4 linked regions of the Oreochromis niloticus genome follow. The protein of the gene in region 1 purifies or fractionates together with the protein of each later gene. This does not show direct contact. Links are inferred from orthologs where the notes say so. Each region holds a gene or a part of one and is shown in the gene's direction. Other genes may lie near its edges.

Evidence for each region.
Region 2: the proteins of ncl (region 1) and rpl7 fractionate together in Homo sapiens (co-fractionation; 3 studies listed by BioGRID, with this or other methods). This does not show direct contact. The link is inferred for Oreochromis niloticus from reciprocal best matches to the Homo sapiens genes NCL and RPL7.
Region 3: the proteins of ncl (region 1) and hsf1 purify together in Homo sapiens (affinity purification with mass spectrometry; 3 studies listed by BioGRID, with this or other methods). This does not show direct contact. The link is inferred for Oreochromis niloticus from reciprocal best matches to the Homo sapiens genes NCL and HSF1.
Region 4: the proteins of ncl (region 1) and mybbp1a purify together in Homo sapiens (affinity purification with mass spectrometry; 3 studies listed by BioGRID and IntAct, with this or other methods). This does not show direct contact. The link is inferred for Oreochromis niloticus from reciprocal best matches to the Homo sapiens genes NCL and MYBBP1A.

What each region holds. Positions count from the first base shown.
Region 1 is NC_031980.2:34,363,370-34,370,942, forward strand, and holds the start of ncl (nucleolin), read left to right. Parts: upstream 1-4,558; 5' UTR 4,559-4,726; coding exon 4,727-4,744; intron 4,745-5,796; coding exon 5,797-5,898; intron 5,899-6,002; coding exon 6,003-6,108; intron 6,109-6,530; coding exon 6,531-6,665; intron 6,666-6,801; exon of another isoform or gene 6,802-6,941; intron 6,942-7,023; coding exon 7,024-7,278; intron 7,279-7,499; coding exon 7,500-7,573. UniProt on the Homo sapiens protein: Nucleolin is the major nucleolar protein of growing eukaryotic cells. It is found associated with intranucleolar chromatin and pre-ribosomal particles. It induces chromatin decondensation by binding to histone H1.
Region 2 is NC_031974.2:20,236,405-20,244,156, reverse strand, and holds the start of rpl7 (large ribosomal subunit protein uL30), read left to right. Parts: upstream 1-4,752; 5' UTR 4,753-4,874; coding exon 4,875-4,888; intron 4,889-5,397; coding exon 5,398-5,497; intron 5,498-5,593; coding exon 5,594-5,760; intron 5,761-6,166; coding exon 6,167-6,304; intron 6,305-6,397; exon of another isoform or gene 6,398-6,489; intron 6,490-7,729; coding exon 7,730-7,752. Other genes in the region: rdh10a (retinol dehydrogenase 10-A), read right to left, coding at 1,919-2,154, 2,496-2,781.
Region 3 is NC_031985.2:36,095,749-36,103,308, reverse strand, and holds the start of hsf1 (heat shock factor protein 1), read left to right. Parts: upstream 1-4,547; 5' UTR 4,548-4,835; coding exon 4,836-4,955; intron 4,956-6,696; coding exon 6,697-6,805; intron 6,806-7,560. UniProt on the Homo sapiens protein: Functions as a stress-inducible and DNA-binding transcription factor that plays a central role in the transcriptional activation of the heat shock response (HSR), leading to the expression of a large class of molecular chaperones, heat shock proteins (HSPs), that protect cells from cellular insult damage.
Region 4 is NC_031975.2:24,293,253-24,300,416, reverse strand, and holds the start of mybbp1a (myb-binding protein 1A-like protein), read left to right. Parts: upstream 1-4,161; 5' UTR 4,162-4,236; coding exon 4,237-4,413; intron 4,414-5,129; coding exon 5,130-5,225; intron 5,226-6,495; coding exon 6,496-6,579; intron 6,580-6,661; coding exon 6,662-6,736; intron 6,737-7,020; coding exon 7,021-7,128; intron 7,129-7,164. Other genes in the region: tbl2 (transducin beta-like protein 2), read left to right, coding at 740-866, 1,223-1,375, 1,796-2,255. UniProt on the Homo sapiens protein: May activate or repress transcription via interactions with sequence specific DNA-binding proteins. Repression may be mediated at least in part by histone deacetylase activity (HDAC activity).

The sequences.
Region 1 (7,573 bases):
CAGAGTTTAACATTTACTAAAGATTTTATGCTGCTTGGATTTTGAAAAAGTGTTTCAAACATTAGCAAATATCTGAAACTCTGTGTTATCAGATAAAATGTTTATATGAAACAATAAGGATTTGTTGAGTGCTGCATCTATACTGCTGCATTCAACCTAGCATGATCTACCCACACTGTTGAAAGCTCTTGCACAAATTTGCTGCACAAATAGAAGAAAACACTGAAAATTTACATTTTGACTTAAAGCGATCTTTAGAATTCAGGCAATAACACTGTAATCCCAAACCACTAATTAAAAAGATGATAGAAAGCCACTTCCTCCTAATGTTCCTCTAATTCTGTTGCACATTACATCCAGTTACCAGTTGGTAAATTTAAGAGCGATATTATTTAAAATAAGCAGTAAATTCACCTTAAAATTATCCATCCATCCATTCTCTTATGCTTCTCCAATTCATCATGGGGAGGGGGGAGTAAATGGTAAATGGTAAATGGCCTGTATTTATATAGCACCTTACTAGTCCCTAAGGACCCCAAAGCGCTTTACATATCCAGTCATTCACCCATTCACGCACACATTCACACACTGGTGATGGCAAGCTACGTTGTAGCCACAGCCACCCTGGGGCGCACTGACAGAGGCGAGGCTGCCGGACACTGGCGCCACCGGGCCCTCTGACCACCACCAGTAGGCAACGGGTGAAGTGTCTTGCCCAAGGACACAACGACCGAGACTGTCCAAGCTGGGGCTCGAACCGGCAACCTTCCGATTACAAGGCGAACTCCCAACTCTTGAGCCACGATCGCAGGATGTACCGTAGGGTACATCCTGCACAGACAGCCAAACTGTTGCAGGAATAACATACTTTAACATTATATAAAGATGATATATAAGCAAAATGGCTTTTTTATCTCGTAGTTTCCAAACTAAAAGGCTTAAAACAAGACAAGCATATAGAGAAAAGGCCATATACGCGCGATATTAAAAAGGAAAACAAACACACCCAGATTATAATAAAGAAGCATAAAAAAGATAACAAATCGTGCTCAGTTGTGAAACTCTAAAAAGGTCCATTGCTCAAAGATTTCATGGTGTAATTACACAAAAGGGGGTGAGAGCCAGAAAAATACAGAGAGAACACTTTACAAGCTAATTAATACAGTAAAGTCAATGTAAAAGTCTTTTCAAGGATTTCCTTTCTAATACCATGAAACATGATATTTACGGTGTGAGTGTTGTGAATGTGTGCTGACTTTGAGGTTGATACCGATTTGCAAACTGGAGAGAAGTACAACTGACAGAAGCAAACCGAGAGTGCACGTGTACTGTGAAAACACATTTGTAATTATAAATTAGATGTGCTTGTCTCTTTTTTGTGAACCTATATTATTGACTGTAGGATGGTCAAATTCATAGTAACACAACTTTAAACACACACACATACAAAACAGGCCCTGAGGCTGTTGATCGGCTGGGGTTATCCCACAAAACCATTTCTAGGGTTTATAGAGAAGTTTCTAAAAAAAAAAAACATCCAGTGAGCAGCAGTTCTCTAGATGAAAATGTCTTCTTGATTACAAAGGATCAAGGCAGAATTGGAGACTGTTTTGAGCTGACAGGAAGGCAACAGTACCTCCAATAAACATTTGTTACAACTAAGGTATGCAGAAGAGCATGCACAACATGTTGAACCTTGAAGAAGATGTGCCACAGCAGCAGAAGACCGCAAAAGCTGCCACTCTTGTCAGGTAAGAACAGGAAACTGAGGCTATAGTTCACACAGGCTCAACAAAAATGGACAATGGCAGACTGAAAAAATGTAAACTGGTCTGATCGGTCATCATTTGGATGGTAGGATCAAAATCTGGCATGCAAGCATGCATCCATCCTACTTTGTATCAGTGATTCAGCTTGATGCACTGGTGAGAGGGATATTTTCTTGGCACACTTTGGGCCCCTTGTGTCCACCTGTGTATTGTTGCTGACCATGTGCATCCCTTTATGACCATCTTCTGAAGAATGCTTCTAAGAGGATAACGAGTCACAAAGCTCAAATCACCCAAATCTGTTTTTCTCAACATGAGTTCATTGTATTGAGAAAGCCTGTGCATTCACCAAATCTCAGCCCAGTAGAACACATTTGGGATGTGATGGATTGGAAAATTCACATCATGGATGTGATGCTGACAAACTGCAACAACTGTGTGACGCTATCGTGTCAATATGGACCAAAATCTCTGAAGAGTGTTTCCAGCACCTTGTTGAATCTATATCATGAACAATTAAAAGCAAAAAGGGCTCCGGTCCAACCTTGTAGTGGAAAGACATAACTAATGAAGTGGCATTGATGCAGAGGGATTGAATCTTCCCATTTCCTGAACATAGGGAGCCAGGGATACCCCTTCATGGAAAACATTACTAAGAAATAAAATGAAAGGGCTGTAAAGACAATGGGAAATTCTGTGCATCTTTCCTTTGTGATTTTGTATTCTTTTAGTACCATATCACCCCATTAGGGCTCTTCGCTCTCAGACTGCTGGTTTACTTGTTGTTCCTAGAGTATTTAAAGGTAGAATGGGAGGCAGAGCCTTCAGCTTTCAGGCCCTTCTTCAGCTTCCAATTTGGATTTGGAAGACAGACACTATCTCTACTTTTAAGATTAGGCTTAAAACTTTCCATTTGATAAAGCATATCAGGTGAATCAGGTGACCCTGAATCCTCCCTTAGTTATGCTGCAATAGGTGTAGGCTCCTGGGGGATTCCCATGATGCACTGAATGTTTCTTCTTCAGTCACCTTTTTCACTCACTGTGTTTAAACACATCTTTGTATTCAATTATCATTAATCTCTGGCTCTTTTCCACATCATGTCTTTGTCCTGTCTTCATCCATTTACCTTCAACCGGTCGCAGCAGATTGGTGCCCCTCCTTGAGCATTGTTCTACTGGGGGTTTCTTCCTGATAAAAGCTAGTTTTTCCTTCCCACTGTTGCCAAAGCGCTTGCTCATAGGGGGTCATATGATTGTTGCTGAAAGACAGCAGTGAATAATTGGACAAGAGTCAGAGTGACAGGAGGGTTTTTGCAAAGAGGCATACCTGTTCATTCTGCAAATTCAGCATAGACACTGCTGTGTAGTTGTATGTACCTTTGTTAACTCAATATGGCAATTTCAGTAGCTCTTTTTCTTTTGTTGTTGTTGTTTTTTTGTTTTGTTTTTTACACAAAAACAGTTTTTTCAGTTATACTGATATGCTTTAAAACCACCAACAGTGGGACGACTGTAATAACAGTCAACTACAGTTGTGATCACAAGTCCAGAATGTCACAGCAAGACTAAGAAAAGGGGGAAAAGTTGGACAGAATGCAACATTTTGTACAGGTAGACAGGTAGAACAATGGCTACTCTGTGAGCTTTCTGACTACAAAAGATATTGAAGTTCGAGAGAATGGTTAGATTATCATTATTTTCATTATTATCATTATTATTACAAAGAAGAAGGGACCAATAAAGTTACATTATCTTTCTCAAATCAAAGGTAGCTGTAATTCACTGAGACTAGTCTGTAAGACCGAGTGATGTTAAATGCAATGCTGCCTCTGTGTGGTGTTGAGGGTTAATTACTCAAACGTGCTCTTCATGTTGCCCTGGGAATCAGCCGGCTGGCTCCAGGATTCAATTGTGCAACAGAAAAACAATGTATGAATATTTACATTTAAAATTATCTACAATGTAAAAGTGGTAACTTAATGGCGATTAAAAAGAGGTTCATTCACTGCAGAAAAAAAAGCCTAAATATTATTATTATTATCATTTTAAATCTACCAAAAAGGCAACAAACACCTATTGCTTACATCCTTCCTGTGTGTAGTCATCCATGCAAAGGCAAACTCTGAGCATGGAAAACCCCTGCATAGAGGGGTTTTTTTATTTTTAAGTTTTATTTAAATGTATACAGTTACATGAAATACATGTACTAAAACTGGACTGAACTACTATGTATACCCCCACTTTGAAGTATTTAGATTATACTATACTATACTAGTTGGGAACTATCACTGTTCACTGTGTAGCGTGTACCTCGTGGTGGACTACACGTGGTTGATAGTTTGGCAACCGTGCCGAACCACGTGGCCATGTAAACAGCTGTATGGTATATGTGACAATAAGCTGTATATGGTTTATGTAGCGTTAAGTCCGGGAAATTGCCGAAAATAGTTTTCTTTAACATTTTAACTGTAAACATCTATAACTATACGTATATTAAAAACAAAACCATGATAATAATAATAATGATATAATAACAATGTAAATAATACATGTTCATGTTAAATACAGACTGTCATAACATTGACTTTAAAGGTTAAACACGGTAGATTTGACAGTGCTGCCTAGTATTTTTGTCATGTATTTAGTGATATAGTGAGACGAGAATAGTTATACAGTATTTCCTTGGAGTAGTAAAATTCAATGTTTCCTGTATGTGGGGTGAGGCGCGGGCACGACGCAAATACATTAGCTTGTGATTGGTAGAGACAGTCATGTGGGCGGGTCGGCGAGAGCGCGCGAAGAAGGGGAGTACAGAGCGAGTCTTCGTCGTCTCTGTCTTTCCTGTCCAATGTCCCATCGAGTAGGCAGGTCCACGTGCATACATTAGCTATTCTTTTTTAAATTCATCTTCAGACGTCCAGCTTCTCGTGTTTTATTGAAACACACAACAGCACAATGGTGAAGTTAGCAAAGGTAAGATTACGTCATTCTATTTTAAAATAGTGCGTGCGTTTGTGATAGAAAGAGGGCTTGTGTTTACGCACGAGGCCTTTAAGCAGAAGTTGGTGCGTTTGTTAAAAAACGGGGGGTGAACTCGCGGAAAAAGAAAATGTCCGCTCAGGTAAAGCTGCGATTGTCGCCTCTTTTTTTTTTTTTTTTTTTTTTTTTTTTTAAATTAATCAACATGGTGGTGGTGTTGCCGCATTTACTACGCCTTTTTCGTTTGCGATCAGCCATGTTTGTGCCTCGCTTTTGGCTCTCTGGCCTGCTAAGCTAAACTGCTGCTTAGTGTGGATTTCGTGCGCGCTCTCGATTTAAGTATGGCGTATAAAAAGACTTAAACAAAATCAATTTATAGCCAGCCTGCCAACCTGTACCAACATTTGTTAGAAAACTATTGTAAAAACCGAAAATTTGAGCACGCGGCTAGCTTAACAACTAGCATTAGCGTATTCATACCCGGACTTGATTCTAATTTCCTTCATTTTGTGGAAATAATGGTAGTTCTCGGTGTTAAGTTTAAACTGTCCCACTTAAACACTTTCTGTCATGTAATGGACTTTCTGGATAACTGTTCGGCATATGTTTATATATATATAATTCTTTTTTTAATGCTTGTCAGCAAATGGTAAAATTACCCAGCATGCTAGCTGACCGACCTCTAGAGCTCCACGTGGGTTCTGCGCCTGCTCTGAGTGACACACGAGGCAAGCAACCAAAACCGAGAAAATCCATCGGCGAGCTCATGTGTAATTTGAGTGGCTTATTTTAAACTCACGTGACCGTTTGCCGTTGATGATTTAAATATTGTACCAGCAGCACGGCTCTCCTGTTTTATATTTTAACCGTGGAATTCCACGTGGCCTAAAGCCCCTCATGTTTGCGGACATGCTGCAGCGGGTGCCATGATTGTTAGACCCTCTTCTTTACCGGAATCTATGCTTGGCTACTTGTAGGCTCCATTATTGTTGGGTTTTAAAAACATTGGTAATAACAGTTTTTGCATTTTGGGATTTCTTTTGAAGGCAGCAAATAAGCAAGCAGCTCAGAAGAAAAAGGCCCCTCCACCCCCCAAAGAAGTGGAGGAGGAATCCAGCGAAGAGGACAGCAGTGATGAGGAAGAAGAGGTACATAGACTTTGACTCAAGTATTTTATGGCTAGAAAAAAATATTTAAAATGTGGTATTAAGTGTTTTTATTTTTGTATTTTTTTTTTTTTTTAATACTGCAGGCTCCACCACCTAAAGCGGTGAAGAAAGCCACACCAGCCAAAGGCACCAAAGTTGTTGGAAATGGCACTCCTGCCAAAAAAGCAGAAAGTGAAGATGATGATTCTGGTAAGTAATAAAGGACCAAAACGAAACTAATTGAATGATACTCATATTTCACATAACTCACATAATCAATTGGGCTTTAATATATAGAGATTGACCTATTGTGTGTGTTTTGGTGTTTAAGGATCATCCAAATGTTAGAAAGTGAGTCCCTCGAACTTTGAGCGATGCCTGATGCATTTAATAGTTATAAATGTGTTGCTTTTGACATTTTAGTTACAACAGTGAAACAGATGGTCTTTAGAAAGAAAACCTTCGAAGTTATGAAAGCTGCTGTTTCCATTTAACTGGTGAATGTGTCGTGTTGTCCAAATTTATAATATACGTTCTTGATCTAAATAAATAGGGTAAAACTTCACACTGTACATCATTCTTAAAGTAAGCATAATATTGCCTAAGACAATTTTGCTATTTATCATATATAGATGAATCATCAGAGGAGGAGGCCCCCCCACCAAAGAAGACACCTGCAAAGGCAACTCCAGCCAAAAAAGCACCAGCTAAGGCAGCTGCTGCAAAAGCAGAGGAGTCAGATGATGACGATGATGATGAGGAGGATGGTAAGGCTTTTGGTATTGTGTGACTGATAGTAATTACTGTTGTACTGTGTTTTTAACAAAACTGTTGATGGCTTCATTTTAATCTGATCCAAGCATTTGTGCTAACAATCTGATGATGTAATGCGTCCCAAAACATCCTCCATTTCTTGGCATGCATGTGGTTGTTTAGTACTCATGTGTGTAATGTACGGAGGAAAAACAAAGACAGCGCTATGTCTTCGGTACCGGTGTGTATTTGACTGTCTGCCGGTCCTATCCTCAATCGCTGTTACAACCTAATGCCCTGTTTTGAACTCTGAAGAGGTTTTGTTGAAAATTTTCTGCAATTAAAACGAAAGCTCGTGTTTTTCTTGTCTAGATGAGTCTGAAGAAGAGGCCCCACCACCCAAGAAGGCAGCCAAGCCAGCTGCTAAGCCTGCAGCAAAGCCCCCAGTGAAGGCTCAGCCTGCAAAGGAGTCCTCTGATGATGACGACGACGATGATGATGACGAGTCAGAAGAGGAAGCCCCTCCCCCCAAGAAGGCTACTCCAGCAAAGCCAGCTGCCAAGGCTGCAAAGGCTCAGCCTGCTAAAGAAGAGTCATCTGAAGAAGATGATGATGAAGACGATGATGGTAAGACTGAGCCTCGCATTTCTCTTTTTTGTTTTTAACAGGAGCCATTGTCTTTGAAAATAGTTAACACTGTATGATGATCAACAAGGGACTTAATACTGATCACGTATGATGTCACCTTTTGAACTATCTGACCCACAGTAATACTCGTTTTCAATGCATTTGAATTCGGCCACAGTTACTGTGAGATTCACGTCATTGGCAATGATTCTGCTTTTTAGACTCTGAAGAGGAAATGGACACTACTCCTGCTCCAGCAGCCACCAAGGCAAAGAAAGCAGGCATGGTTAAAGCC
Region 2 (7,752 bases), on another chromosome or scaffold:
CGATGTGTGCCTAAAGAAAACACACACCAGACCTTTTTACGCGCACTGCTGAGACATCAAAATATATTAAAAAAAAGAAAAAGAGAAGCTTATCAGTATGAAAAAAAAAAAAAAAAAAATGGCAAGCACACTTGGAAACCTGCTTCTGTAAACTGATCTGAATAGCTGTTCTTGCACTTTTCAAATACAAATTCTCCTATAACATGCCTTTAGGGATAGCATTTTGTGAAAACATGTGCATTAACAGGTTTTTAAAGCCGGCCTAAAAGCCTTTCATGACGCGGACCTAAACTGAAGTTATTTGTTGAGTCAAAAACCACAAGTAAGCCGTTGGAGGTACCTGTTGTTCAGAAAAAAAAGGGGGAGAAAAAAAAATCAAAAGGATTCTGTAATACCTGCCACCTGCATGCAGTGACTAACTGCAGTGAGTTTGAAAGGAAAGTGGACAGTGCCTCTGTTAGTTTAATCTCTATTCATCTAGCTTGTGTCATTAATGAACCACATCCTCCATTCTGGCTGTCACCATTCATTAAGTCCTTCTTTCATCTGCTCCCCCCTCCGCACACACACACCTCTAAAGAAACCACGCTCACCATGGAATACAGGAAAACACAAACATCTATTTAAAAAACAAAACTCTACTACCAAATCACTGGACCCTGACTCCAAATCCTGGATTTAAAGAGCACTGAGATATCCAGCAGATGAATGCTTGAATGGGGCATCCATTAAAGAGGAAATCCGCACAACCTGCGTGAGCGATGCCACAAGAGATTTTTCATGCTCGATTAGGAAGCTTGAAGTTACTGTGGTTTCATGGCATGACTGAGAATGCCGTTCTCTGTAAACAACAAATAAAATAAAAAGATAAGAGCCTGGGGCCAAAGCCTGAAAAATGAAGATATTCTGGATCACTTGACAATATGTTGTGACAACTAAATTCACGCATGAAGTGGTGAATTCAGAACCAGTCTGCCAGGTGAAAGACTTATTCTCAATCCATGCGGTTTACTCCAAACAAAGCTTATAAGCCAAATTTACACAGTCATTGCTGCTGTTCCACAGGGGGTGGCTATAGTGAAGAAATGCAATCAATTCTCATTAAGGTTGGTCTAAAGGCTCCAAAAGAGTAAACATCCATCTTTAAAATGAATAAAGCTCTTTATTAAATTTCTAATAGCTTTGGCAGTCTGCAACCACAGTCTTCCCACACCCCAAAAACACACAGACACACAAAAAAACCTGTGATAGCGCTTAACTGGTTACACGCTACAGCTTATGCTTATCTAAAGCGCAGCATATTCACTCCATCAAGTCCACGTAGCCTCTCAGATAAGTAGTCACACTGAAAGGCTCGAGGAACGGAGCCAGAGTAAAAATCTGATATGCAACAAATCACCAACTGCCAGCAAAATGTGGTGAGCTGATCTAAGACAGATCCAACCCACGTACAGAACCCCGTTTCCATCACGCACAGTCGGTTTGTGCAGATCTGTGCAGCTGAGGAGATGAGACGGAGCCGCTGACATACCTCTGGGATCATCATCGGCTGTGGCTGCCAAAGCGGAGCAAAGGCAAAGATTTAAAAAAGCCAAACCCGTGACTTTCCTCTGGCAGAATGAAACCAAGTGGAGCTGAAATCTGAACATGCAAGGCAACTATTTATGGTCATAGTTTCTTAGGCCTGGAGGCACACACACACACACACACACACACACACCTTTGATTCTTGAGTTTGGCACAGAGAAGGATAAGATTATGAAAAGGCATACGAGTCAGAGTGGAGACATTCCTGTGAACCTGGCATCACAGTTAACACATTCAGCAACACTGTTCTCACTGAAACTTGGGCACACACATTATAACTTCACAATAACCTCAGTGTCGGCTTATTACAACAGCTTCTACATCGGCTCACCCAGAAGTGTGCGTGACAGTTGACCACCATGGTCCGCTCGATCAGCTCATCAGGACACTCCAGGAGGTGATGGCCAGAGACGACGCCAGCGTTGTTGATGAGTATGTCCACTTCTCCCACCTCCCGACGCACCTTCTCCGCTGTGGAATACACACTCTCGCGCTTCCCTACATCACACACATAGGTGTAGACCTGCGGCTGGAAAGGTGGGACTTCCTCTACCCCTCCAACAGGTCCTGCAGAGAGGGGGGAAAATAAAAGAGAGGGAAAGCAACAGATGATCAGTGAAAGTGTGTTTAGTAGGTTGATTAAGATTATGAAAGTTAATACAGCTAAATTAGGTGAAACGGTTTAAAAATCTACTGTCTCCATATGGAAGTCTCATTCCACTGTTTGGTTATTTAAAATGAAACTTTTGAAATCCTGAGGCTGTGTCCAGTTTAACTGACTCCCTCTGACACACTTTAGTTTATTCACTCTTACACTGATCAGGACTGCAGTGTGTGTTCCTTAAATAACACTCGACCGCTCAGAAAGCCGGCTGACAGCCTTAAAGCTGCAAAGAAAACACTCTTACCGTCTTTGGTTACTGGAGTGTCCAGTTCATGGTAAATCTGGCGCACCATCTCCGCCGTCTCCTCGTTGCTTTGGCTGTTTATGTCCCATAAGACCAGTATCGCTCGTCTCCGGGCGAACTCCTTGGCGAACAGCCGCCCGAGGCCGCTTCCAGCGCCGGTGATCAAGCACACCTGTCCCGCCACGCTTTTCTCCTTTGGCCGCACAATCCACTTGGCTCCGGCAGTTAAAAAAGCCCAGAGCACCTTCAGAATAACTACGAAGAACTCCGCAATTATTATCATCATCTTGGCCAAAGCTTTCTATCAATTCAAATAAACGGCGGAAGAGGCGCAGGGGACTGTTTCCTTCTTGCAACCTGTTTGCAGCAGACAGGATCAGGGAAACACCGACAAACTTGGATCACAGTGCCGGCAGGAATAACGGCCTATGGAAATATGGTTTAAAAGACAGAAAAAATGCGAAAGAAACTTAGGCGCATGCAGGACAGATGTATGAGTGGAGTGCGAGTTCAGATGCTGCTCGGTAAGAGTCCAGTTGCCACTATAACGCACAGTTGCAGTGAGTTATGAGCAGCTACTATCAAGTGAGCCTCCTACTTCCTCTGCTGCCTCTCCACTCATCTCACTCTGGAGCGCACCTCAGGCGCTATTTATGCTGTTCAGCCATCAACGCTGGACCCAATAGGAGGGGGACTTGAGCGCCTGTCAGAATGAAGGTGATGTAACCTGAAAGATTTTAACACGAATCTCGGACTTTTTTGTATCCTCAAGGAAGATTAGACATTAAGCTTCCCTCCTGTTTGAAAAGGTTGCTTATTTATGCGTCTCTGTGTGCGTGTTTGCGCGTTTTTGGAAAATCCTAACAATGTAAAGTTTGATAGCAAGTTATTTAAAGATATAATTAATCTTAACAGCTTAAACTCAGAAATCCACGAGCCACCGATCAGGCCGCACTGGACCTGCAAGTCCAGGTCAATGTCCAGCCATACGTGGAGCAAACTAAAATATCTTGTTTACAAAGTATTCCCACTTTACGTTATTATTATATGTTACACGTTATTTTTTCTGTTAAACAGAAACTACACTTAAAGTTATAAGCCAGCTCAAGACATATCCCAGCTTTGCCTGCAATGATTCCCTGAGATCCCCACGGAGGAAAGTGAAGTCGGTCGGTTAGGTAAGCCACGCACCCGGCCAGAAAAGTGATACTTCCACGCGCAAATCGTTACGCGATCACGTTTCTTCCTAATTAATATAGCCTAATTACCCTTCAATTATAATGATAATATACAAAACAGGCGCACACGAATCGTCTCCATTGTGAACACGTTCATTGCCGCTTTGCAGCTCCCCCCACACCTTAGGCTATTGTTTACACCTCTTCCAGGTTGTGCAACCTTTGCCAGCAGCCTCTCACTTGTGCTGTGCTTGTTTTGTGGGCGTGTCTGAGGAACAAACAGCTGATGGAAGAATCCTTTGTAGATTCTAAGGATAAAACAAATACGTGAAAAACACCTCCGGGGAAATGTTCTCTCCAAATGTAACAATGTGCCCAAAAAGCCAAGAAAATTACAGATAAATAAAGCACTCTGCTTTTTCAAGAGTATTAAATGATTGATGGGCTTTAACGCTGGCTCGTTTAATACAAGGCAACATTTTTAATATAAAACTACCTGCACTGGAACGGTCAAATTGAGAAGCTGACCAATGGCAAAGCTCTATTTAGGCGACGTTTCACCATTAAATTAAAACTTGTGTCTTGCATTTTGCCTGTAAAATAAAAATAAATAAATCAACAAATAAGTGGCCTTCAATCGAGTCTATATCTTTTTATGATTTTTTTTCATAACCTCCTGGGACAGGGTCTGTTATACAGCCTGAAGCAAAGTGCTGGGCGGGAGTTTCAACGCTACAGGCGCTCTCTGATCGTGCTTTGCAAAATGAAGTGTTTGCGCCCTCTGCTGGTCAGATGGCTGCATAACGCCACCTGTAGCACGGAAGTCGGGCAAAGTAGCGTTTAGATTAATTTAAAAAAAAACGAAAAGAAAAAAAGAAACAATATAAAATAATGTATTAAAAATAAGGCCAGGTAGGTCTACATCAGAATACGTATTATAGCGTCGTCTTACCTTTAAAGCGTTTGTTATTACAATAATATTCCTTGCGGTAGCCATAGAAAATAGTTGTTGATATATTAACCGATAAATTTAAGGGAGCATTTAACCAAGAGAATTATTTCAGTGGGTTTTGCGTAACTTTAGTTTTGAATACATCGCTAGAATTTATCCATCAGGCAGTCGGAAGGACGCTCCGCAGAGGTCCTAACGCTTTTAACCCGCACATGCGCAAATGAAAAAGTCTCTTTCTCGGTGATCGCAATGGCGGACGCAGAGTGAGTGTTTCCCTCTGTGTTAAAATCTAATCACATCCAGCATTAAACTAGCATCTGGTGTTAATTTTACAACGCGAATAAGCTATTTAGTTAATGTACGATAGAATAATAGCAGTATTGTTACAGATGGTGATTATTACTGTTGTTAGGGTTACTTTATAATAACTGAGTCCATATAGCTGAGTTCAACATGGCTGTCTCTTTAGCATCTGTGGATTTTACAAGTGTCCAGTTCTTATGGTTAAAAAAATAGTACTAAAATAATAGTCAGCTATTTCAGCAACCTTTGAGTTCATGCTGCTGTAAAACCTCTCTAGTCTTGAAAGCTATTGTATGAAGTAGTATTTACCTGTGTGGAAGCCGGCAAGTGACAGACTGGCAAGCTAGCAGCCCCCATGATTCAGTCATCGCTCGTTTCAGTTGAGCGATGTACATGTGTTCAGGTATCTTGTCCACCATCTCGCTTCGAATTTTTTCCTTACAGCATCTTTTTGTTAACGTTTAAACAGAAAAAAGGTTCCGGCGGTCCCTGAGAGCCTTTTGAAAAGGCGAAAGGCCTACGCGGCCATGAAGGCCATGCGTGTCAAGAAGCTGCTGGCTGAGAAAAAGGTAAAGTGAAGCTTTGTGCAGACAGTATTCCCGTATGGATGGAGATGTCGGATAGTGTTTTGAACTGCTTCAACGTGTTTTCCCTTTTGCATTCAGGTCCGCAAGGTGACCAGGAAACTGATCTACAAGAGGGCTGAGAAGTACCACAAGGAGTACAGGCAGATGTACAGGCGTGAGATACGAATGGGCCGTATGGCTCGCAAAGTGGGAAACTTCTATGTGCCAGCTGAGCCCAAACTGGCCTTTGTCATCAGGATCAGAGGGTGAGTGATGCGCACTGCTTGGGATTCCTCTGTGTCTGGCTTAAAAGAACTGCACAATCAGTTGCAAGGTGTTGTGCAGGCAGTGCCACATGAGAGGATGTCCAACTGCTGAGCCTCATACATTACTACTTTGTGTTTAGCTGCTCAGTTGCTTGTTAATTCAGTTGCTATTGAGAAGTCATTTTTATTGAATGACTAAGCCAGTCTGTGTGGATAAATACAGTTGAGTGGTTAATGATGCATGCTCTTTCCCCGACTTATCGACTCTGCTGATACACATTTGTAATAAAAAGCCAATAATGTTCTGAAACCACTCTAAGTAGCTTAATTAGGAAGTTGTACCTTGATGGTAAGTCCAAACAGTAATCACAATGGTTGGTTGTTGTTTGTTTGTTTTTTTCTTCAGCATCAACGGCGTGAGCCCCAAGGTCCGCAAAGTTCTGCAGCTGCTCCGTCTGCGCCAGATCTTCAACGGTGTCTTTGTCAAGCTGAACAAGGCATCAATCAACATGCTCAGAATTGCAGAGCCTTACATCGCTTGGGGGTAAGGACTGTGTCACTCTGAAACCTGCTGTTCAGAAATAAGAAGCGATGGTCAGGGGGTATTGGCACGTCTCTAAATAGGTGATACACTTGGAATGTGGTTAATGATGCTGAACTTTTTTCCCCATCATATCGACCATGGTGATTACTGACTGAAACTAAGCCAGTTTTGTCTGAAACCACATTCCATAGTGGTACGTGCCAGTGTGTTGACAAATGTGAGTGTGTTGGCTTCATACTGTAATAATGCAGCCAGAAACTTTTGTAACCTGGCATTTACTACAGTGGTCATTCACTGACACTTGAAATCAACACATTAAAGTACTGTTAAACAGTTTATATAAAAATAAGCCAGTGTCAAACTAAACGCAGTAAATGCTTGGCTATATTTCACAAAGCTTTAATGTCTTGATGTTAAAGACCCAATGGAAATGTTTTGTGCTCTGTGTGTTTGACATTACTGTGTGGTGCTGTAATGGAAGAATTTACCTGATCTTCACTACAACAGCCCTGTGGAAGTGTGGTTGTAACTTGGCACAGGAGTGAAGTGTAGGTTAGACTTGTAGTGTTTGCTTTTTGGTCACCTTAAGACTTCCATTTTTGATATTTATGTAGTTGGTTAGGGTTACTTCCTATCCGGTCATTTATGTCAGTCTTGTTTGGATGTGTCTAAGTGACACTTTTGATGCAGATAACTTGATCTGTATTGGTAGATGCAATATTGTTCCCAATGTTGTACTAGGTTACTAATATTTCTTTATACTATGACGGAGTCAAGAAACACCATCATCTGCCACTGTGTAATGCCTTTGTATTTAACTGTAGACTTAAGATTTTTTGCATGTTGTTGACTGTATTAACTTGGCACATCTGCATTTGGGAGGTATTGTGCAGATTTAATATTTAAAACTAAACTTTTTCCTTCATAAGATCTTAGCAAAGCAGGATTGTTTATAACACAGAACAACCCTATAGATGCATTACACATGTCCTGAAAGAAGCATCAAAGCTGCAGAAATTTGAATTGCTACCATTCAATCATACCAATTAGATTAAAACAGGATCCTCAGATTGGTCAGTTGAGTCTTGAGCCTAAATTTGAACTGTCAGGTTTAGTATCCAGGCAATCTGTAGCATTAATCCAATGAGTTTGACTAAATCTTGGGGAGAATTGCCATTCAGATTGTAGATCATGCTTCTTCCCCAAAACAATGATGTATATAATCTTTTTTGCTAATGAAAGTGCCAGGTTTGGAGAGATGAAATCTGAGCTCTTAATGTTTTGGGGTTCATAATTTAATATTTTGTAAATGCCTCTTAAATTAAACTTTTCTAATCCTATTTCTTTATAAATTAACACACGTAAATATCATTGATTTGTGCTCCTTTCATAAGCTGTGACCTTTGCTTTTTTTTCCCCCCCTAGATACCCCAACCTGAAGTCTGTGC
Region 3 (7,560 bases), on another chromosome or scaffold:
AATATCTGTTGGTGAAGTTCTACCTGCTATTCAACGTCTTAAACTTAGTAATTCCCCAGAAACAGATGAATTAACCTCTGAATTCTACATTACTTTTGCAGATCAACTGGGCCCATTTACTCAATGTGTACACTGAAAGTCTCATAAATCAGTCTGTCCAACCCACCACTTTATCAGACGGTCTGTTCACACTGATCCAAAGACCCAAAGAAGGATCCTGTTTATTTTGACAACTGGAGGCCGATCTGCCTTCTTAACAATGAGTATAAGATCCTAGCTCAGATCTTTGCCAAAAGACTGAAAGCTGTTTTGAATTATATTACTGATGAAACTCAGACTGGCTTTATGGCTAACAGATACATATCCAACAACATTAGACTTGTTCTTGACCTCTTTGATTATGCAGATTTTTGTAGGGTTGATAGCTTTATCTTATTTTTAGATTTCTGTAAAGCATTCAATACTATTGAACATAGTTTTATTTTTCAGGCTTTGGACAAATGTGGTTTTGGCCCTTACTTTCAGAATGTTATTAAAACGATGTACAAAAATGCTAATTGTTCCATCAAATTTCATACAGGTACGTCCTTTAGGTTTAAGTTGAACCGTAGTATCAGGCAAGGCTGCCCCATCTCCCTATATCTGTTTCTCATCTGTGCTCAGCTCCTCTCTGACTATATTAAACTTAGTCCCATGAAAGGCATTAGAATTGCAGAAAAGAAATATTCATTAGTCAGCTTGCTGATGATACCACCCTCTTTTTAAAAAGTGCTTCACAGATGCAGATAGCCATTAACACAATTGATGCTTTTTCTGTAGCTTCAGAACTCCACTTAAAGATCGGTAACTGTGAACTGCTTGCCCTCAGAAACTGTACCAGTCCCTCTATTGCTGGCATTCCAGTGACAGAGTACATCACTTACTTGGTATCCTCATTAATAAAAATCAGCCAACATCAATTTGGAACTTTATTCCAAATTTAAAAAAAATAAAAATTGGCGATCTTAACTTTGTTTTACTTACAATATTGATAAAATCCCCTTAAAACTGTCCAACTTTCATAAACAGATGCGTCTTTCCTGGTTGTTACTTTATAAACACAACTTTTCTCTGCGCAGATACTATATTTGGAATGACAGAGACATTTTATACAAACACAAATCTTTATTTATAGGTGACTGGTTTGTTCATGGGATTCATCTTGTTGCGGAACTTCTTAATCCAAATGGAGCTTTACTTTCTTAGATATCTATCTCTCTGTCTCTCTGTCTCTGTCGCTCTCTGTCTCTCTCTCTACATATATATATATGTATATATATATATATATATATATATATATATATATATATATATATATATATATATATATATATATGTGTGTGTGTGTGTGTGTGTGTATGATCTGACCCCTCTACCACTGATCCTGCTGTTACCTCTGTTAGACAGATCTGTTTTCCCAAAACAACCCAACTACTGGGACCTGGAATGGAAGAAAATTTGGACCATACCACTGAAATTCCTGTTAACCAAAAAAGTAAAAGAAATATCTTTAAAATAAAATATTCATCGTTTTTAACCCACCAGAACTTGTACGATATAAAAAGACATTGATGCTAACTGTTCATTTTTTCACTGTCAGAAAAAGATATTTCTCTCTTATTTTGGTCCTACTTATGCGCTAATCTTTTCTGGCAAGATGTTTGTGCTTTTGTTGTTTCTTTTATCTTATCTTTGTTACGGAAAAATATTGTTTGGCTTTTTTGATTGCCCTGCAAATAGGGCAAACAAATTTCATTTGATTAATTTACTAATCTTAAAATTTCATATACATAAATCCAAAATTTCTAATGCAAAACCGTCTTTTCAATGCTTCATAAATGAAACCAGACAATATTTTAAAACTATACAACATTCCCATAATATAAAAGCAATAAAACTATAAATTTATGCTCCTTGTTTGGTATCTTGTGATTCAAACCCTAGCCCAGAGGTTCCCAAAGTGTGGGGCCCGCCCCCTAGGGGGGGCGCAGAGCCATTGCAGGGGGAGCGCGGTATGAAAATAAACAAAGGTAGGTCTCCCCAGGGGCCCGTTCTTCGTACCTCGCTTACTACATCCAAGATCAAATGACACATCCAAGATCAAATCATCGCGCTAACTTTGAGCTCGCTAATCCGGTTCTCCGAACGCACCTGTTGTTGACGATTAGTATAGCTGGCTGAAGTAATCTGAGATCACTGGGTGGCTTTAAAGGGGCTACGCATCGATAGTAGAAACATTGATCGGCAACCCTGTGATTGGTCGGCGAAGATGTCGAAGGAGCGCGCGCAGTATCTCACGGCAGCAGAGCAAGAACTCTTGATTGAGGGATAGCAGGAGTTTCAGAGTTTAATTAAAACGCAGGGGAACACTGCAAAGGCTGCAAAAGCAAGGAGAGAGGGCTGGCAGAAAGTTGCTGACAAATTAAACTCGTAAGTGATCCGTGATATTACATTATATCATGTGATATTATATTATACCACAGTATATTATATTACATCATATCCTCTTTCACATTAGAGCCACAACAGGACCCACTAGAACATGGGAAAAAGTAAAAGTGAAATATAAGAATATTCTACAGAATGGTAATATTTATCACTTATATTGCTTTTAGTCTATGACAAGAGACCCTGGAATAATCTGTTTGTTTATAACAGCAACCAAGAAAAGGGCAGAGCAAATAAAGACAGGTGGTGGTCCTGCACCCCCTCGTCACACCCCTTTTTGTACTGTGACATTTATTGACATTGTGGGTTTTTATGTGTGTAGTTTGAATAACACTCCATCACTTTTACCTGTTCCCATGCAAGGGGTGACTGAAGCATGCACAGTAAGTCGGGAGTAAGTATATATATAGATATATATATATCTATATATATATATATAGAGGGAGAGAGAGAGAGAGAGAAAGGGGGAGGAAGAAAGTAAATAATACCCTCACGGGAGAATCGATATCTCTCTATGAGCACACCGTCGCGCTGAGCTAAAGGATCCCGTCTATCCCGCAATATACGCTAAATTCTGTAAACTCTCCTTATCAATCTTGCACCTTCCTTGCTCGCGTACAAACGGACAGGACATGGCTGCGACAGACTTCCCAAATCCACTTTCGCTTTTTTAGCCGTGGTCTGTCATCTTGATTGCACGTAGTAATTTACTATTACTACTCTAAAATATGAATTACATCTGACATGATCTACTACATGTAATAGAATGGTTAATAGTACATTTCCCTTTTTTTCGGAAATGACCTGTATGTATCTGTATGCAATCAATAAAAGAATCAAATGCTGCATTATCTTTAGTTACATTGATAATATTTATTTATGGTAAAACAGTGGAGAAATGTCGCTCTTGCTTTCATAAAACTGCAGCGGACATACCTGAGTGGCCGCGATCTAATCCTGTTTACATAAAGTAAACCTGCTCCCGAGCAGGCTTACTCTTACGGATCTGTTGCTATGACAGCAAGTCCCAGATGAGCTTCGGAGAACCGAACGATCCAAGATCACGCGAAATCGTCAACATTCAAATCCGGCTAACTTACTTAGCGAGGTACGAAGAACGGGCCCCTGCAGAATTGGTTTTCCCTGCGTCGGGAGCAGCGCTGGGCTCTCCAAATCACGGACAAACAGTATCCCACATTCTTGATTTTTAGTTCAGGAACACTTCTTGTAATAACTAACTACTCCTGACATTTTGGACATGTTAGCTCTTTATACAGTAAAGTTACAGTGGGATACAAATAATATCAGGCTGATCCTGCCACAGTTTGTTCCCCCTGTCCAAATCACGGACAAACAGTATCCCACAGCTGTTTATGTTTTTGAACCCATTTTGCACAGAGAGGCATTTTTGAAAAATGTATTGATAGCAATGTTGAATATTATTACACAGGAAAAAAACAACTACACGTAAAATAATTACACCATGACGCCTCTGCCTTTCTAAATGGAGGGACAGTAACTGCGTGTGTATATGTAAGTGTGTAAAACCTGAAGATAGAGACAAAATACTGTTACTGTTAATCTTACTATCTGCCATTCTGCAATTCATCTCATCTAAACAATAACGTGGCGCACACCGTGATGTGAAAAAAGGCACATACCTTTGACGTTGCGTGATGAACTCTGTATTCCTCGTCCACACGTAAACGCAAAAACGGAGTTTTAAAAAATCTCCGTTTTCAGTGATTCGAAACGCCGTTTACGTGCCGACGAAAGGCCCAAACGCATAGAAACAGCTGCGTTTTCAAAAATACCCATGTAGGTATGAACGTAGCGTAAAAGAGTTACTAGTGTATTTTATTTTATTTTATTTTATTTTATTACTACCTGTAATTTATCGCAGGATGTATTTGTGCGGTGGTGGTGGGGGGGTGTCTAATTGTTATTACACGACCACCCCTGACATTGTCTTTTGCTCATTTAAATCTGTAATGTCTGAATTGCTAATGAAGCTTAAAATAAAAAATAAAATCCGCCTTACTGCTCATCACATCACAGCGCGACAGAACGTTAGGGTTACGTATTGTGCTTACGCCATCAGACCGCGCTGGGCAGCTATCTGCGCAGTTGTGTTTTATCGGATTTGCGGAGTTATCGCGGCTCTAAGTGAAATAAAGTTCGGCACGTCTGTTTGCAGCCCCGCGGGGAGCTCTGAGTTCAGCAGCGGGACCAAACCGGCGCGGTCCGAGTCAGATCGGGGACCCGAGTCGTAGTTCGTTGTTTTCTTTCTGACGCAGCTAGCTGTTAGCGTCGTTAGCTCAGGTGTGTGCTCGATTTTTGTCTCTCAGATGGAATATCCCGGAGGAGGGGGAGCGGTGCTGAGCAGCGGGAACGTCCCGGCCTTCCTGACCAAATTGTGGACCCTGGTGGAGGACCCGGACACCGACCCGCTCATCTGTTGGAGTCCGGTACGCACGATAACAGCTAACAGCTAACGCAGACAAGTTTAATTTTATTTACACAGCAGAAACAGACACAACTTTATTTAAACTGGAATGTAGACAAGTTTGTTGACAAACTTTATTTACTGACTAAAAAAAAGAGGTCAGCTCAGTTAGCTTAGCTTCAGTGAGCTATTAAGGCTAACAGAGCTCACGTCAGAGGTCAAACGATATCAGACATCATCAGCTAGTCGGTAAATTATCAGTTGACAGTTGTTTTTCTGACAAACTGATTCCAGCAGCTGTTTTGGAGGTTGGCATAAAGCCTGAATTCAAATAAGCTGATGACTGCCTATGATGTCACTGTAGTGTCATAGCCCACACCTTGTACAGCTGCAGGTGTTAATTTCAGGTTGCACTGAAATCGGTCACTTATCACCAAAAGGTCTCCATCTTTATTTTCCTAATTTTTTTTTTTTGTTTGTTTATTTGTTTTTTTTTATTGCATAACTATTAGGCTCCACCCACAGCTGAAGGTCATGTAACACCAGATTAAAGAAGTGTCTGAAGTGTAATTTCCAAGTGTAGTTTAAAAAGGAAAATGCACCTTTAATCCATGGTTTTCATTACTGCGACACGCCCACCTGGAGGGCAAAAACAGTACTGCGGTCCTTTTCTCTCCACCTCCCTTTGAACGTCTTCTAGTTTAACTAGAAACCAAAATGCCAGATAGTTGCTGGGCTATCGGATGCAGTAATCAACATTTATTTACAACTGCCAACTGGCATTGGAAAAAGTTTTTTCTATTTCTTTTCCATATGGGCTGCCACCCACTCCAAATGTCCACCTAAGTGGACATGTAAAAAAACTATTTGAAAAATACATGTTTAAGAAATGAAGTTCAAAGATCTTTTTTTCATGCCTAAAGATGAATAAAAATACTTAAGAAAAAAATCCTGATTGAGGTTGTCATAATTCATGCATGAAAGGGTTAAGCTAGCTATGTAGCACTTACTTTTGCTTTAACAACAAACACTTTCTTGTTCTTCACCTCCTCCTTTAAATGAAGCTGCCACGGCAGGATATGGATCACAAGTCCCCCAAATTAATGGTTTCTCTTTATATCTTTATTTGGATCCATGGAAGAAAAACAAAGAGTTCACTTTCATCTGCAGTGTGTTCTGACAGTTCTGTTTAATCTATACTGATGTATAGATTACTGAGTTCCAATCAGTAATCTATACATCAGTGCCTGATGTGCAGGTGCAAAAAACCCTGAAAGTGTTAAAATAATCAATAAATTTTGAGCTGCTCAGAAACAGTCTGCTGGAGAGCAGACAGCTGAGATTAAAGTGTTAGCAGTGTGCTCTGATTTTCAGATCTGTTCCTGGAGATTCCTGAGCGTAAGAGCGTATATAGTCTCTTTTTATCAGTTGATTATAAGGTAAATGCAATGGTTCTTATACATTCCTTAATACTCAAGTACTCAAAGTGCTTTATACCCCATGTCTCATTCACACACATTCATACACTTTTTTTCAACCTGCGTGCTTTCTGTCTAACAGTCACAAGCTAATGAACGCATCAAAGAGGACCCTGAGCTCAGGGTTCAATATGTTGCCCAAGGGTACTTTGCCATCCAGAATGGAGCAGCCAGGGATTAAACCACCAACCTTCTGATTAACAGATGACCTGCTTTGCATCTTGAATCACAGCCACCACAATAATACAGATTCTTCTTCTTTTTTTCTTTCTCTTGTTGTATAAGAGTGGTACCAGTTTCCATGTGTTCGACCAGGGGCGGTTTTCCAAAGAAGTTCTGCCAAAGTTCTTCAAGCACAACAACATGGCCTCTTTCATCCGCCAACTCAACATGTGTGAGTAACCAGCAAGGAATCATCAGTGTGTTAGCCCCACCTCTGAACAAGCTATCGTTCAGAGGTGGGGCTATCACTATTTGGCAGTGTAACAGAAGGTTAGATGTTTTTGTTATTGATTTATTTTTTGGGAAAGAAGATTCATCCAATCAGGCGTGCTTTGTGAAGAAACATTGAGATATAAGTCAAATGTCTGGTGTTTAGCGGCTTTTCTTTGCTGCCGTAATTGTCATAGCAGCAACAACCAGTCCTCACAAGGCAAGGTAGCCTGCAGTTAACATAGCAGTTAATGAGCTAAGCCAGTGGTCCCCAACCTTTTTTGCGCCACAGACTATTTTATGTCCGACAATATTTTCACGGACTGGCCTTTAAGGTGTCGCGGATAAATACAACAAATAAAACGAGTATCAGTACCAAAAAAAAAGAACATTTATTCATAACACACAGGAAAAGACCCAGGGAAACAGAGTTACCGATAAAAACAGATAAAAACCCTGAAAACCATAAATTTCACACCCGAGCCTCAACTCTCATGGTCCGATACTGGTCTGTGCCCCGTAGGTTGGGAACCGCTGAGCTAAGCTACCGGTTTGTGTATATCAAGCTGATCAGTCATCACGACGATCTTTGTGCATGAGCAGCTTCTTTTTCTCCATGTCACTGAAGAAGTGCTAGTTGATTGGTATGCTGAAAAGCTGAACTTTTCTCAACATTCAGCAGAACCCTCTTTAAAAAAAGTAGGATAGAAAAAAAGG
Region 4 (7,164 bases), on another chromosome or scaffold:
TCAATCTCAGCTGCCTGATCAATGTTTTTCATTAGCAATTTAGCAAAGTTAATGGTGGTGGTGTGCATGTCAGTGTGAGTGAAAGACAGAGAGGGAGAGCAAGCAACAGATTTTGTGTTATAAGCCTCATGTTATGGACGCACAGTGTGAGCACTCAGGTCACATCAGAGCATCAGGCCGTATAATGTGATACCCTGCATCGTGACCTACGAACTTCTAACCCCTGCGAATCAATCGTACAGTTTGAGCAGGAGCTGAATAATGCGACTGAAAAAAATCGCACAGTGTATGCCCAGCTTTAGTCAGCCTCTTGGCAGCCTAACGGTTTTAAGAAAAAAATCAACCCACCAACAAGCAATAAAAGTTGACTCTAGTCAAAGGAGTTTGCAAAGAAAAGCGTCTGGACTTCTTTAAGTTGCTTGAAGACGTTTCACCTCTCATCCGAGAAGCTTCTTCAGTTCTCTGAAGAACTGAAGAAGCTTCTCTGAAGAACTGAAGAAGCTTCTCGGATGAGAGGTGAAACGTCTTCAAGCAACTTAAAGAAGTCCAGACGCTTTTCTTTGCAAACTCCTTTGACTACGATGACCTGGATGACTGAGAACCTTCACAGACAAAGTTGACTCTAGTTTCACATGAGAAGAAAGCTGGCAAAAAAGGCTATATCTGTAAAACCTTATTTATTTATTTTTCAGTATTTGTCACCAGTTTATGGGGCTGATATTGTGTTTCTCATCCACAGGCAAGTTTATCATGAGTGCCTCCACCGACACTTGTATCAACATCTGGGACCTGAAAGGAGAGCTGCTCGCCTCTATCAACACGAACCAGATAACCAATTCTTATGCTGCCATCTCCCCGTGTGGCAGGTCAGTCCCACTCCTCATTTATTGCACAGCTTACACTTGAAAGCTTAGAAATGATATACATCTACTCTGTAAGTTTATTGTTTTACTGTTTCATGACATTAAAACAGAAAAAGTGTCTATAGGCAAAGTTTTACAGTAAGAGCTGTAGGTTCTTCTGCTTTAAATTGTTATTGAGAAAAATAAAGGTTTGAAAAGTCATGTATTGAATCAACCTTTTTCCCACATGTAAGATGATTTCTTCATATTGTTTTTACTTTTAAATTCCATTCAGTAAAATAAAAATCTAAATAAAAATAAGTGTTTGAATTGCGTGTCACTCTTTGGGAGCTCTGATCGTGCTTCGTCTATTTGCTCAGGTTTGTCGCGTCCTGCGGCTTCACTCCTGATGTGAAGGTGTGGGAGGTTTGCTTTGGCAAAGGAGGAGACTTCAGAGAGGTGGTGCGAGCCTTTGACCTGAAGGGCCACTCTGCTGGAGTCCATGCATTTGCCTTTTCCAACGACTCTCGCAGGTAATACGCTGCAATATCTGAGATGGAAAATGAATGGTTGTTTATAAGCTGAGGCAGCATAAAAAAGCCTATAAACGTTAAGCTGAGGGTAAAGAAGCCTGCTGCTGCTAACACTGCTAATGTTGGCACACTGAGAAAACTAATCAGGACAATAGTCTGACAGGGAGGCACACATTTCAGTGCTATTTTAAAATGCATTCTAAGTATCTAAAATCATTGCTCTTAAATTCACACACAGTAATTGTATGTAGTCTAACTCCATTAATAGTGCTTGGTTTTGAGTGTTTTCCTCTCTTGGTTAATCAGCCAGGAGAGCATCTCTGTTAATTAATTAGCTTTAGAGGTGGTGGGTGCATGAGGGTCCTGTGTTAAGCTGTGTTAAGCTGTGTTAAGCAGTAATGCTTTCCTTTCATTTTTCAGGATGGTGAGCGTCTCCAAAGACGGCACGTGGAAGCTGTGGAACACGGACGTGGAGTACAAAAAGCAGCAGGATCCCTACCTCCTGAAAACCATTCCCTGCAGCTCGTCTGAAGGCAGCCGGGTGGCCTTGTCTCCAGACGGCCGGGTGGTGGCTGTCAGCGATGGCTGCAACGTGGCCATGTACGATGCTGCCAGCGGAAAGCTGGAGGAGGAGCTGCACGGCGTCCACAGCGTGGAGATCACGGACCTTAGATTTGACATTAACGGACGCTTCTTGGTGTGCAGTGGCGACAAGGCTATCCGAGTGTTTCACAACGCTCCGGGCTATCGGGCTGCCATCAAAGACATGCAGGACATGCTAAAGAAGGCTCAGAACGAGGCCATGAAGCAGAGACTGCAGCAGCAGATCAAAGAGGCTCAGAGTGCCCTGGACGCTGTGCTCGCTGCCCCCTCCAACTAAACAGAAATAACAGGAAATCACACTCTGAATGTGACAGTGTCAGACTCTGCTAATCATTTGTTTGCATAGTCACCTCTGCCTCTTAATGATCTGGACTGTGAAGATGAGATTTGCATGCAATTTAATAAAAGGTATCTTTTTATGGAAGTGCTTCGTTTGATTTGAGACATTTGGACTTCTGAGTGTGATGTGCTGTGATTGTGTTTGATTTGTCATAGTTTGTGAAATTGGTCTCATAGTTCTTCAGAGTCACTATGTGGAAAAAGGAACAGATTAACAGTCCCTTTAACATCTAATGGCCACTGTCGGTTTGGGTGCTTCATTTCCGAGTCCAGGTGTTGTCTGTGCTGACTCACTGTGAAACTTTGAACACAAACTAATGTTAATGTTATTAGTCACACCTTTGCTTTTCCTACTGTGGTAGGTCAAAATTTCTGCTGTGAAAAAACAAGTTAAAAGTAATATTTTCCCAGAGGGTGGCATTGAAGTAAAATTCCTTTTCTGCTTATTACATCCAAAGTAAATCTTTGGAAATCTCCTGTTTGAAATCCTTAAAGCTTTATCTAATGGTATTGCTATTGAGAGCTAAAAATTAGGCCTCAGTTGACACCTGTGCACTCTCACATGGGTGTACAATTCGGTGCAAATACCATAAGAGGATTTGACTTCAGAGCAGAACGTAAATTGTGAGGTGCCTTTCAAGTACAACCAACTAAAAGAAGTGTGAGTGAGATGTCTGGCATCTAGAAAACACAGGTGAAACCACGTCTTTGGATCTGTGAGAGTGATGAAAAAAAAAACTTCAAAGTCAGTCAAACTGGGGAAGAAAAACTAGCTTATTCCTCAGTCCATCCTAGCAGCCCACTGAAGGTGTATTTGATCCTCACAAACAGATATTTTATTCCAGAGTTGTAGCGGGGAAGTCTGGAGTGTCCTGTAATCCCCAGAAAGTCAAAGCATATCAAAATAATCCTCAGGATTTGCAGAATTTGTAACTTGTTTTGAATAAAGGCATATATTTGATTACAGTGTGCTCGTGTTTGAGGATTTGGGTATAAAATACGACCTTAGGTATCTTAATTAAATTGTGCAGTCTGGATTAATTTTTGTAGCTTTAATAGAAGACTTGATTTTTCTTATTGTCCCATGACAGACATCCTGAATCTCTGTGCCCTTTTTGGTATTTTTTTAAGAGTGTCAGAATGAATATTTTGTAAAACATCACCAAAAAATAAATAAATAATATTCCCTTAAACAACATTAATCAGTTATTTCCCAGTCTTTCAGACCAAGACATGGACTTGTTACATTAATCAGAAAAACTGGGTGATCCAGTGTAATGTGTGGCTTGAGTAGTTTATATAAAGAATTCTAAGTCATTTATAGGGTGGAGAACAGATTCAGAATACTTTATTGATCCCAGAGGGAAATTGTTTTGTTACTGACACTGAAAATATAAATATGAAAGACTGAAAATATAAAGTGCAAATTTTAAAAAGAGTAAAACAAAGACACACAAAGTGCAATGTTAAATTAAAATAAAAATGTTCAAATTCTAGTGAAAATGTAATGGATGGACAAATAAAGGCAAATCAAATGAAAAAAGTGTCACCATTTATTTTAACCATTTGGATGAAAGAAAACTTAAAACAAGGCTCATGGTAACAAAAACATGTTGTATGATATTAATTAAATGTAATTCAATAAATAAATGCATTGATATATTTTTATTATTTAGCATTATTATTATTTGAATATGTGGATATATATGCTCATTTTAACAACTCTTTTAACAATATTATATTATATTATATTATATTATATTACATTCCCTTCTGTGAATCGCTCAATAAAGTTTTTTTCTTTTTTTCTTCTTAAAAAAAACATGGCTGGTGAGTTGACCCGGATGTAGTTTCCGTGAGTGAGGCACGTGTTCCCCCTGCAGCAGCATGAGTAGAGGTGGTGGTGGCATTTCGAACAGATGTCTGTAGAGATGGTGGAGCTCTCAGTGAAGGCGGCGGAACCGCTCCGGCCCGCCGGTAACCTGCAGCAGAACCGGGTCTTCCTCGACTTCTTCTGGGACCTGGCCAAACCGGATCAAGAGGTCCGACTGAAGGCGGTGGAAAACCTGATACAGTACCTAAAAACCAACAACAAGGTGAGGCAGAGTGCGATCGATGACACTGAGAGACTCCCTGAACGGAGCGTGGTCCCGCTGCACATGTACTCCTCAGAAGTTTTCCACTAATATTTTTAGAAGTAGTAGTTGTACACATAGTGTCGTATGGAGAGGTGGGAGATGTTTTCATATGTAACTGATTATATGACTGGATATCATACAGGATATCATTGACACACTGAAGTATTTCAAGTATCAAGAATTTAATACTCATATAACAGAGTCAGGCCTATATTATTAACATAAGGCACTATTACCGTAACTACCTGTGTATAAGTACTTGATCAAAACTTGTTAAAATACCTTGTATACTTTATAAGAATCAAAACATCAAATAAAATTGCTTAATAATATAGTAAACTTTTTCTTACCGTACTGCAAGTAGAAATACTGTAAAGCACAGTAAAGTATTTTACTGTCAAGGGTCAAGGTTTAATTGCATGTTTACAGTGGAACTCCATTACCCGTAATGAAATCCTTGGAATCAGAGTTTTATCTGATTGTTGTTGGTCATTAAACTAAACCCAACACTTAAATAAAAAAATATTTATTAAAAAGTGCAATTATAAAAATGTCTGAGTGTAGTATGTAGTATTTCATGTATAAGTATATTCCAGGATATATATATGATTCCACATAGTGTTAAAGTGTCTGTAGTTTAAAAGTTTTAAACAGTCTTTCTTCATGTGTTGCAGGAGGATGAGTTGGAATACACCTTTAAAAGGCTGGTGGATGGACTGGCTCACACACGGGAGACTGCGAGACCTGGGTTCAGCCTCGCTCTGGGGCAGGTGAGTGGAGTTTATCCCCATCTATCTTTGTCTGCGGACCTGCCTCTGTGCACCCATCCACAGCTTCAGCCACATCTTTGTTTCAGGGTTGGGGTTAATAAACACAGTGCAGCAGTTCAACACTACTTTTAATAACAAAAATCCTCTTTATTTATCTTCATAAGTGATAAAATTCCTGGATGTGGCTTTTATGTGCTAAGAGATGGTTGTGAGACCTGCTATGATGTATAGTTTGGAGACTTCGACTGACAAAACGATAGGAAGCTGAGTTGGAGGTGGCAGAGCCAAAGATGCTAAAATTTTCACTGGGAGAGAGCAGGATGGGGAAGGTTAGAAATGAGTACATCAGAGGGACGGCTCAGGTTGAGCTTTTTGGAGAAAAAGTTAGAGAGGTGAGGCTGAGATGGTTTAGAGATGTAGAGAGGAAGGATAGCAGATGTTTAATACAGAGCTGCCAGCCAGGAGGAAAAGAGGAAGACCAGAGAGCAGGTTCATGAGGAAGGAAGACATTGCAGAGCGTTGGCACGACAGAGGAAGATGCTGGGGGATAGGGGGATGTTCAGATGATCTGCCGTGACGACCTTTAGTTGTCAAAGATGAAGATGAGGAGAAAGAGGCAAATGACAAAGTCACAGAAGCAGATGAAGAAGACAAAGAAGATAGAGACAAAGAGAGAGAAGCGATGATTTGTGTGTAAAAGACTTATACACACCTTTTTTTGGCACATTTTTGTATGTACAAAAGTGTCACTATAAGCTTTCTATAGCAATAGGTTATGACATCAGCATGTACACATATACCTAATAAAGTGGTCAAGATGTGTTGCCGTTACTCTTCATTAAAGAGCAAAATTCAAAAGTCTAAGGAGGACATGTGATCATGTTAAAAGCTAACCAGTCAGCTGTAAAGCCCAGCGTTATATTTATCTTAAATGAGGGTGGTAGCCAGAAGTTTCCAGGGTGTCATTACAATTTTGTTTTTCCCCTGTCAAACATGGATATACCTTCTCTCTACCTGTGCTTCAAAATCCTGAATGAATCATCCTGTGCTTTCTGCCTAGCATGGACAGTCTCCCTTTATTTGTGTATCGCCTTCTGTACAGCGTCATGCAATTTAAAGTGCTAGTTTTACCTTATTTTAAGATGAGTATTGAACTGAATATATTGGTCACATGGGTTTCGGAGTGTGTACAAAATGCTGTTTTGCTGCTAGTGTTAGGAAGGTGCTCTATAATAACTGAGCTAAGCAGTAAAGTTTCCTTTATTTTTAGGTCTTGAGTGCCTTTGAAGATGTCTCCCTGCAGAGTATACTCAACAGAATCAAAGAAAAGCACAACTTGCAAGGAGCTAAAAAGGTGAGTTTTGGGTGTTTGGTATCTTTTAGCACCAAAATCGATGAATGCAATCTTTGAACTTGTTTCATCTTTCGTCTTTCAGAAATTTGCCAGAAATGCTATGTTTGGAAACTTGTTTGGTGTTCTCGCCATTCATCAGTCCAACCGCCTCTCTAAGGTAAGTTTTCTCACATTTTTAGCATACTTGGAAAGGTTTTTGCTGCATTAAAGAGGAGAATGTGCCTGAGACAATATATTGAAGACGCCTGCAAATATTTAAGGGATAGTAATCATAGGGAAAGCAGGGGAAAAAAATGATCATGGTTGCATCACTTTCAGGTTTTTGTACGGTTGTAAATTTCACAAGAAATTTAAGATCCAGGGAACAGAGGAGATCCAGGACAGCTGATGCTCTATCAAATACGTTGTGGTCTCTGAGCTCTCTGTCTTGTTTCTGTGCAGGAGCCACAGGTGGTGTTGGGATGTGTGCAGCTCCTGCAGAGCCTCAGTCAGCACAAACAACACCTGAAGGACCTACCCACCAAGACCATGACGGACATCCTCTCTGAGGTGACAGCTGCAGACTAGTTACTGCTATAAAAATGG